Linked DNA regions of Pelodiscus sinensis. The protein of the gene in region 1 interacts with the protein of each later gene in a biochemical or structural test. Links are inferred from orthologs where the notes say so. Each region holds a gene or a part of one and is shown in the gene's direction. Other genes may lie near its edges. The genes, in order: SATB1 and PIAS1.

Region 1 (3,916 bases):
AGAAATACAATTATTTAAGGGCACTTTTGGCAAGATAAAGCATGCTATGAAAAAACTACAGAATTAAGGACAGCTTCTAAAAAGCACAGAGACACAGAATAAGTAGCTCCAGCTAGTTACAAACTGACACCGTGCATGAGTCTGACAAGTGGAATGGTTGCAAAAACAAACACACATCCACACAAACTAAAAAATCCAACACCCCCCCTCCTCCTTTATCTAAAGTCAATACAAGTTGCCTGCTGTCATATTCAATACAGATTGCAGAGTCACTTCACCGTGCACACACTTTCCATTAACTTTATCTGCGCCAGCTTGTTCTTTCCCCACCCCGGGTCTCGGCGGCCGGGGCAGAGGATCGCGCACGCGGCCCATCTGGAAAGAGGGAGGGAGCCCTGAGCTTTCCCATCTTCTCCGGTCCCAATTGCGATCTGACCCTTAAAATATTGATCACCTTTGTCAGATCCTTTTCGGAAACTCCCCTGCTCGCTCATCCTTTCACTCGCACGAAGCCAGCAGCAGCTGACAGCCAAGCATGTGGGGGTATAAATATTGAAATAAATGAGTCGGAGGGAGGGGGGAGGGAAGGAAAAAGAGAGTGTGTGTGTACGCGCGTGGAGGGGGGGGTGATCGGTGCTCCTGTGAGGGGCGCTGCTCTCCAGGAGCGGATGGGAGGGAAGGGGGGGGGGGGAGGCAAGATAATAGCATTAAAAACAACAACCAGCAGCAGCCCAACAACAACAGTGATTAGCTCCTACCCATCGCACAGGGGCTGGGAGGGGATTATCTGTCTCTCACCTGACTTCCTCCTCCACCGCGAGCCGGGGGGAGGCAGAGACACGCGCGCACACAAACCACTCTCCCCAACTCAGCCCCAAAACACACCGGCCAGAAGAAGGGGACCGAGCAAGCGCCAGACGCACACCCGGCTCCCGCGGCTGCGGCTCCCGGCTCCGCTCTACGCCGGCGCTCAGCCTCTCCCCGCCCTAGCCCGGCTCTGCCGCCACCGCGCACCCGGGGAGGGCAGCAGCAGCAGCAGCAGCAGCCGCCGCGGCTCAGCTCGGCTCCGGCACAGGCGCGAGCAGCGTCCGCCAGGGGGAGAGAGGCAGCGAGACACGGCGCACGGGTGCGGAGCCTCCGGCCGAGCTCCGCTCGCTCGCTGGAGCCTGCGCCCGGCGTCCTTCCCCGCCCAAGGGCTCCAGAGAGAGGAAGCCGGGCACACGCCGGCCCCGCGCTGGTACCTTGCTGCCGACCCCGGCTGCTCCTGAGGAGCTGCTCGGCAACGGGGGCGGGCGGGCGTGCGTGGCTCCCCCCCTCCGCCTCTCCGTCCTCTAGACGCCCACTCCCGATGGGGGAACAGACAACTTGAACTTCAGCGCGATTAACTTCGCCGCCGCCTGGGAAGCTGAAGGTGTCGCCCAGCCTCGCCCGCGGCGCTCTCATGAGTGAGTAGGTCTCTTTTCCTCCTTCTCCGGTTTCCCGCCCCCCCCCAGCGCGCCTCGGGTCTTTTATTAAGTCACGTTGTGGGTCGGAGCACTGCTCGGGAGCGTGGAGGGGAAGCCCTTCCCGAGCCGGGCTCCACACACCTGCTGCCTTGGCAGGGCTGCGTGCCATAAACGCGGGGTGTGCGTGGGGGCGGGGGGAGTCTTGCCTCGGCTCCGGCTGCTGAACCCCTGCGGAGGGGCAGAGCCGAAGTCACTGGCCCGGTAGCCCCCTTCCCCTAAAGGCAAGTTCCCTGAAAGTTTGGCAAACTTCCCCCCACGTTCCCCTGAGAACGCGCTGGGCTCGGGAGGTGCCAGCCGCCTTGGCGACAGGTTGCCTGGGTTTGGCGCGCTGCGAAGATGCATTTGTTAAACGTGCGTGGGCTGGGTTGTGTTGAGGGGCACTTGGCCGACGTGTTTAACCTGAAACGCAAAGTTGTTGAAGACCGTGTGTTGCGAGGCTTCATGGGGGAAGGGGGAGGAGAGAGGCGGAAAAGATCAACTTTGGCAGTGATCTCTGAGAGGGGAAGGTTTCTCCTCGCAGCACGCGTCGTGGCAGCTGGCGTGTCAGTGACCTTAGTGGTGAGGAAGCACAGTAAGCCCAGGTACGCTATCTCTTCTCCTCTGCACCTCCTTCCCCTGGCGTTCTCCATTTCAGATCTGGTTTGGTCCATGAAGAGGCAGCGAAGGGCCCACAGGGGAACAGGCACTTAGACAATCCCCCCTAAGTTGGTAGTTTTAAGTACGTTAGCCAAAGCGTCCCACCGAGATACTGCCAAAGTTTAAAAGACCCCAGAGCCTCATTTGAAACGACGTTTTGCAATCTATATAAGGTTCATTTAGTTCAAAGGAAAATAATTCAAATCAAGTATTTTATACCTTAGATATTTTTAAAAGTCCAACAGAAAACTTCCTCTAATAATCACATTTTTGGTGAAATCTTTGATTAGTTCTAGGGTGAAGAACCAATGACAGACACCTGCAAGTTTCCAAGTTTTATACTGCTAGTCCCAGAAATCTAAAGTGCTTAGGTTACTGACAGAGAAACCCTTATTATCCCATTGAAAACTTGTGTTAAAATATTTTACAACAGCTTTTCACCCAAAATGAAGAAAAAAATGGAAAAAGCCAATAATCAGTTTTATTCAGTCAAACCTAATGTAATTGTCCTATGGAAATAATTCACAATTTCAGATTCAACAGCTCTAAGGTTCTAGTAGTAGACAGTACTAGGGTTAGCAGCAGGATTTAGCAGCAGCCCTTTATTTCTACTTTATATCATTTGGTATAGTACATTAGTATATATTTGTCTGCTTCAGTATGCTGGCAAACATTAGCATTCAAGCTTACATTTTTGACAAATGTGCAGACAGGAATAGCATGAATAAGCATCTTAAATATTAACAACCTAAGCATCTGTTGTGAAACAAATTTAATATATTTACTCTGTTTTTCTCACATTGTTAGAAAAGGTTACAATAAGTGTAAAATTGTAATGTTAGTTAATACAGGGATTGGATTGGATATTTCCCTATCTCTTCAAGTCTTTCAAGCAATCACCAGATATAACGATATTAATTCTGGTGCATTATTTTATAAAGAAAGTTGAACTGTATGCATACTGTGTAAAGACTTGAATATAGTACAGTGGCTGTAATGTGCATCGTATACACTTACAGTGTTAATATTATGTATACACTTTATATACACATTTCCTATTTCAGATTTTAATATCTCCCTTATCAAGTGGAAATATTTTATACACAAATGTGTAAACATGTACAGTAAAAAGTGAATGTAAAAAGATAGCGTATGTATGCATACATATGTTTTGTGTATATACATATCAATTGATAGCCCACATACATTACAAGGCTCTATAACAAAAATAAAATCATTGTCTGCAGTTGTACCCCGTCCTGAATACCAACAGCTAATGTAAAAGAAACAACTGACTTCAAGGAATTCCTCTTTTCCCTGGAAAAACAGTAATCTAAGTAAAACAAGAACATAGAGGGAAGTCTCCAAAAAGCCTGTATAGTATTTTCTTTCTAGAATCAGTGCATTCCTCCTTTTCCCCACAAGTGCAAATGTGTAATAAATAATAGTTCTTTGTATGCAAAATGAGTTTACTGGGACAAAAATATTTAAGTGGAATGTTTTTTGTTCATGCATTTTTAAAAAGTTAGTTTCTTTTTTTATATTCTTTGTTCTTGAACTGTTAAATAGCTAAGTTACTCCACAAGCATTCCTCCTTGTCTTCTGTTCTTTTAACAAGACCTATCTAAGGATAAGTCCCCTTGATACTTATTTCTGAGAGAGAAATATAAAACAGGCAAAGTCAATCTGTGATTTGTTAATGGTACATGTTGATTTGCAGAGTAAGAAGAAAGAGAGAATCTCCCTAATTAGCCAAAGATTGTAATAATCATTTT
Region 2 (3,916 bases), on another chromosome or scaffold:
TGTCTGCAGATGTTCACTTCGCTGTCTTGATTTACTTTCGTTTTAAAGATTTTTTTGCAGTTAAGGAGGAAGTCGAGACTTATGATTCATGATTTTCGGGTGCCTAAATTTGAGGATTGGTGTGTAGCACTTTTTGAAAGTCAAGGACTTTAAGGTGTATCAAGTTAGTCATTCAAAGTCATCTGTCACTTAAATCTTGGCTTAAAATTATCATTGAAGGAAGAGCCTAAATTCTGCATAAAATTGATTTCTCAGTCCTTTCGCTCTTTCACCAAGAACATTTTTTTTTTCTCCCAATGTTTTGTGGATAGATGGTCCTACTACCCCAAACTCCTTGGGAATTGTACTGATTACTAACTCATCCTATTAACACTGAAATGACTGATAGTGCCCAAAAGTCTATCATTTTGAACAAGTGACCTAAGAGCAAAAGAGGCTTTTGTCCAAGTTACCAATTCTATTTTATGCTCATGTTCAGTGCTGGAGGATTTAAATACATTTAGTTGTTTGACTCAAAATCAGACATGAGAAGTTGATTTTTTTTTTTTGAGAATTGCTACACGGTGACATAGTATAAACAGGACTGGTTGGAAAACTGGATGGTATAGCTATGATTTTGGACCTTAACATTATGGATACTGGGTAAAATACAGTGTATTATGCTAATCACATAGAATTGTGTAGACATGAATGATATTGGGTGCTGGAGGACATGGAATGATAGGGAAGTGTAATAGATGACTGGGAAACAACTTAGCGTCAGTGCCTGGCCACTGTTTTTAGCAGCCAGTGAAGGAGAAAGTTAAAACCTAGCGTGTTGAGAGAAAGAGAGCATAGAGACTACAGCAGTATGTTAGCAAATCAGGACCATGCTGGTGTCCTGTTCTCATACTGTCCCCAGTCATCTCTGGGCTGAAATTTGAGATCACCTTTGAGACAAACAGTGGAAACTGATATTTCTCAACATTGGTGAGGTTAGTCTTATTATATTCTTATATTCTGGCACTTTTGCTCTTTTTAGAACGGTGATCTTTCCAAATAAGAACATAGCTGAATGAGACGCCTATCTGAGTATCTGGATTCATGCGCCTCTGTGGTAACAGTCATTGCAACGTCAGTAAAAAAAGTTTATTTGTTTTTGTTTGTTTCCTGAAAGTTGTTTTCAAAGGACTAATTCTAATATCCCACTTAAAAAAAACCCATGGTAATGATATATAGTTCATTAGGGTTTCTTGCACCCTCCCCCCAGTTCTCTTTTTAATAGTAAGTCTTATTTAAATTTGCAAAGTGGAAGCCTAAATTTGTATTTAGGAGCAAGGGAATAGATAGATTGCATCAGATCCATAATCCTTCTGCTTGTGTCTCAGCAAGAAACCCTGCAGTGGCAGATACGAGAATCTGCCAATCTAGTAGTTCCTGCAGAGTTTGAATAGTGTGCAGTAAATAAAGCTTGGGTCCATATGTTGAAAAATGAGGAAACAAAATATTGATTACCTACTCACTACATAAACACTATTCAAGATAGGGATGTGAACGTGTATCCAAGTACACGGTTAACAGATGAACCTCTCCGTTACATGCATCTCCTCCTCCCTCTCCCACTGCTGCCTCCAATACAGAGGCAGCATCGTGGGGGAGGGGGGAATTTTAAGCCAGCTTCCTGCGCATACCGGCTCCAGACAAGCCGCCTGTCTTTCCCCCCCAACCTCCCATGCTGCTCCCTTCCACAAAGGCAGCAGTGGGGGGTTCCCCACAAGCCACCTGCATCATGCAGAGCCACCTGCCCCTGTGCTACTGCTTTTTCAGGTATCTAAAAGGATGTCCTAAGGAGGAGGGAGAAAACGTGTTCATTTTGGCCTCTGAGGATAGAACAAGAAGCAATGGTCTTAAACTGCAGCAAGGGAGGTTTAGGTTGGACATTAGGAAAAAGTTCCTAACTGTCAGGGTAGTCACACACTGGAATTCATTGCCCAGGGAGGTTGTGGAATCCCCATCTCTGGAGATATTTAAGAGTAGGTTAGATAAATGTCTATCAGGGTGGTCTAGACAGTATTTGGTCCCCAGTGGTGGGGGGACAGAGATTGTGCTCGCAGGGAGCCAACTTTTAAACTGGCTCCCTGTGAGAATTGGCTCCCACCCTCACATGTGTAAATGTTGTAACTGCTGAAAAATTCAGGGGTTACACGTTTACACAAATGCATGCATTTTAACGTCCCTAATTATAGGATCACATACCATTCTTTGCATAGACCCCCATCCTGCGTTAAAGACTGTATCGTAATGCAAGGCTGGGGGTGCCGACAATCTTAATTTGGGCCCATGTTAACTTTTGAGCGCTTAAGTTTGCAATTTTAATGTCGTTTTAATGGAGGACTTTTAAATTGTGATTTGTAACTTCCTGGGTTTTTTTTCCAAATTGCTTTTTAAAACAAGTTCTATTGTGTGGCATCATATTGACACCCATATTATTGGAACCAATAGTTTTCCCCCCATGCAAACTTCTGCCACTTGAACTAATGGTGGAGGCGAAGAACATGTTACTGCTTTGTGGACCAGCAGTAGAGGATTATGGAAAACTTTGACATGTCTGTCAAATCCACTGTGCTAATAGCAGAGGAGCAGTGAGACTCTAGATTCTTGAATTCTATTCCAGGCTCTGCAGGGGACTTTGCTCTTGTTGACATAGGGCTGGCCCACAACATTTTGGCACCTGAGGTGGGGAGCTCAAATGATGCCCCCATGTCCCCTCGCTTGCCAAAACTTTGAAAGGTCTCAATTCTCTGGGGTCCTAGTGTCAACCCCCCACCCCCAGTCTGGCACCTGATGCAGCCCCTCTGTTCACCTCATGGTAAGGCCAGCCCTGCATTGGCGTGAGTTCTTCTGTTTCCCCTCCGTGCCCCAACATGACTCCTCTGCCCTGTCTCCTTCAACCTATCCCAATCCCTGCTCAGCCAGTCCCAGTTTCACTGCTCAGGCTTCTCATCACAGGCCAGACTCCCGTTCCCGTTCACCGTTCCAGTCTCCTTGCCAGACAGTCCCAAATCTGGGCCCTCCCTGTGCTTCTTCATCTGAAGTGTCTCTCTCCTTCCCTGCCTTGGCCTCAGTAGTGGAACCACAAATGTCATTTTGGGTCACCTAAGGAAGTGAATGTCAAAAATATTTTCATTGTGCTGTATATTGTCCACAAAACACTTCACATATCTTTTGGAAAAGATACATTAGAAAAATCTGCTCCTTATAAAAGATGGGTATTTAAAAAAGTTACAGGTTCGAAAAGGGTTATCTGATTAAATGGCTTAATTAGAGGTAACTTATCATGCTTCCTGGAGATCAGAATGAGTGGTCATTCCCCCACCCTCCGATTATGTAATTTACATAGCTATGACTTTACTAGTGTGTCTGTTTTTTGTGTATATTATCTTTGTATAGTGGGACTGGTTTCCTTTCATTTTAAACATTTAGAAATTGCCACTTTTGTTTGTGTAGTTTTCTGCTTTGCAAGACTAGGTTTTATTGATGAATCAAACAAATAGATATTTCCAATAGGTCTTGAATGTATCTTTTGAAATCACTCTGTCTGGAGAGCCTTTGGTTTAAAGGGGTACTGACAACTTAGAATGTAGTCATTTTTAATGAAGAAGTTAAGTGGTTATTGGTTTGTCACCTGTTCTGCCTGGAGTCTCTTTGCCAGTTTTTATACATTCAAAAAGAATTATGTGGGTTTTTCTGCTCTCCCCTGTATTGTGGAGAAAACAAGGGAAATTGACTACAAAAGAAACAAACTAACACTGATGCTGCTAATTATAGTCATCTTAGGGGTTCCTTATGACAAAAGTAGCCAAACTTATTTAATAGAGGTGATTTTTAAGCTTAGGGTGAGGTTTTCCCTCAGTGAGTATTGGCATTTGAAGGAAGT

What was found.
Region 2: the proteins of SATB1 (region 1) and PIAS1 form a complex in vitro, tested with the Homo sapiens proteins (2 studies listed by BioGRID, with this or other methods). The link is inferred for Pelodiscus sinensis from reciprocal best matches to the Homo sapiens genes SATB1 and PIAS1.

The regions. Positions count from the first base shown.
Region 1 is NC_134712.1:192,365,010-192,368,925, forward strand, and holds the start of SATB1 (DNA-binding protein SATB1), read left to right. Parts: upstream 1-1,310; 5' UTR 1,311-1,441; coding exon of another isoform or gene 1,442-1,445; intron 1,446-3,916. UniProt on the Homo sapiens protein: Crucial silencing factor contributing to the initiation of X inactivation mediated by Xist RNA that occurs during embryogenesis and in lymphoma.
Region 2 is NC_134724.1:3,147,825-3,151,740, reverse strand, and holds the start of PIAS1 (E3 SUMO-protein ligase PIAS1), read left to right. Parts: upstream 1-1,021; 5' UTR 1,022-1,083; coding exon 1,084-1,113; intron 1,114-3,916. UniProt on the Homo sapiens protein: Functions as an E3-type small ubiquitin-like modifier (SUMO) ligase, stabilizing the interaction between UBE2I and the substrate, and as a SUMO-tethering factor. Catalyzes sumoylation of various proteins, such as CEBPB, MRE11, MTA1, PTK2 and PML.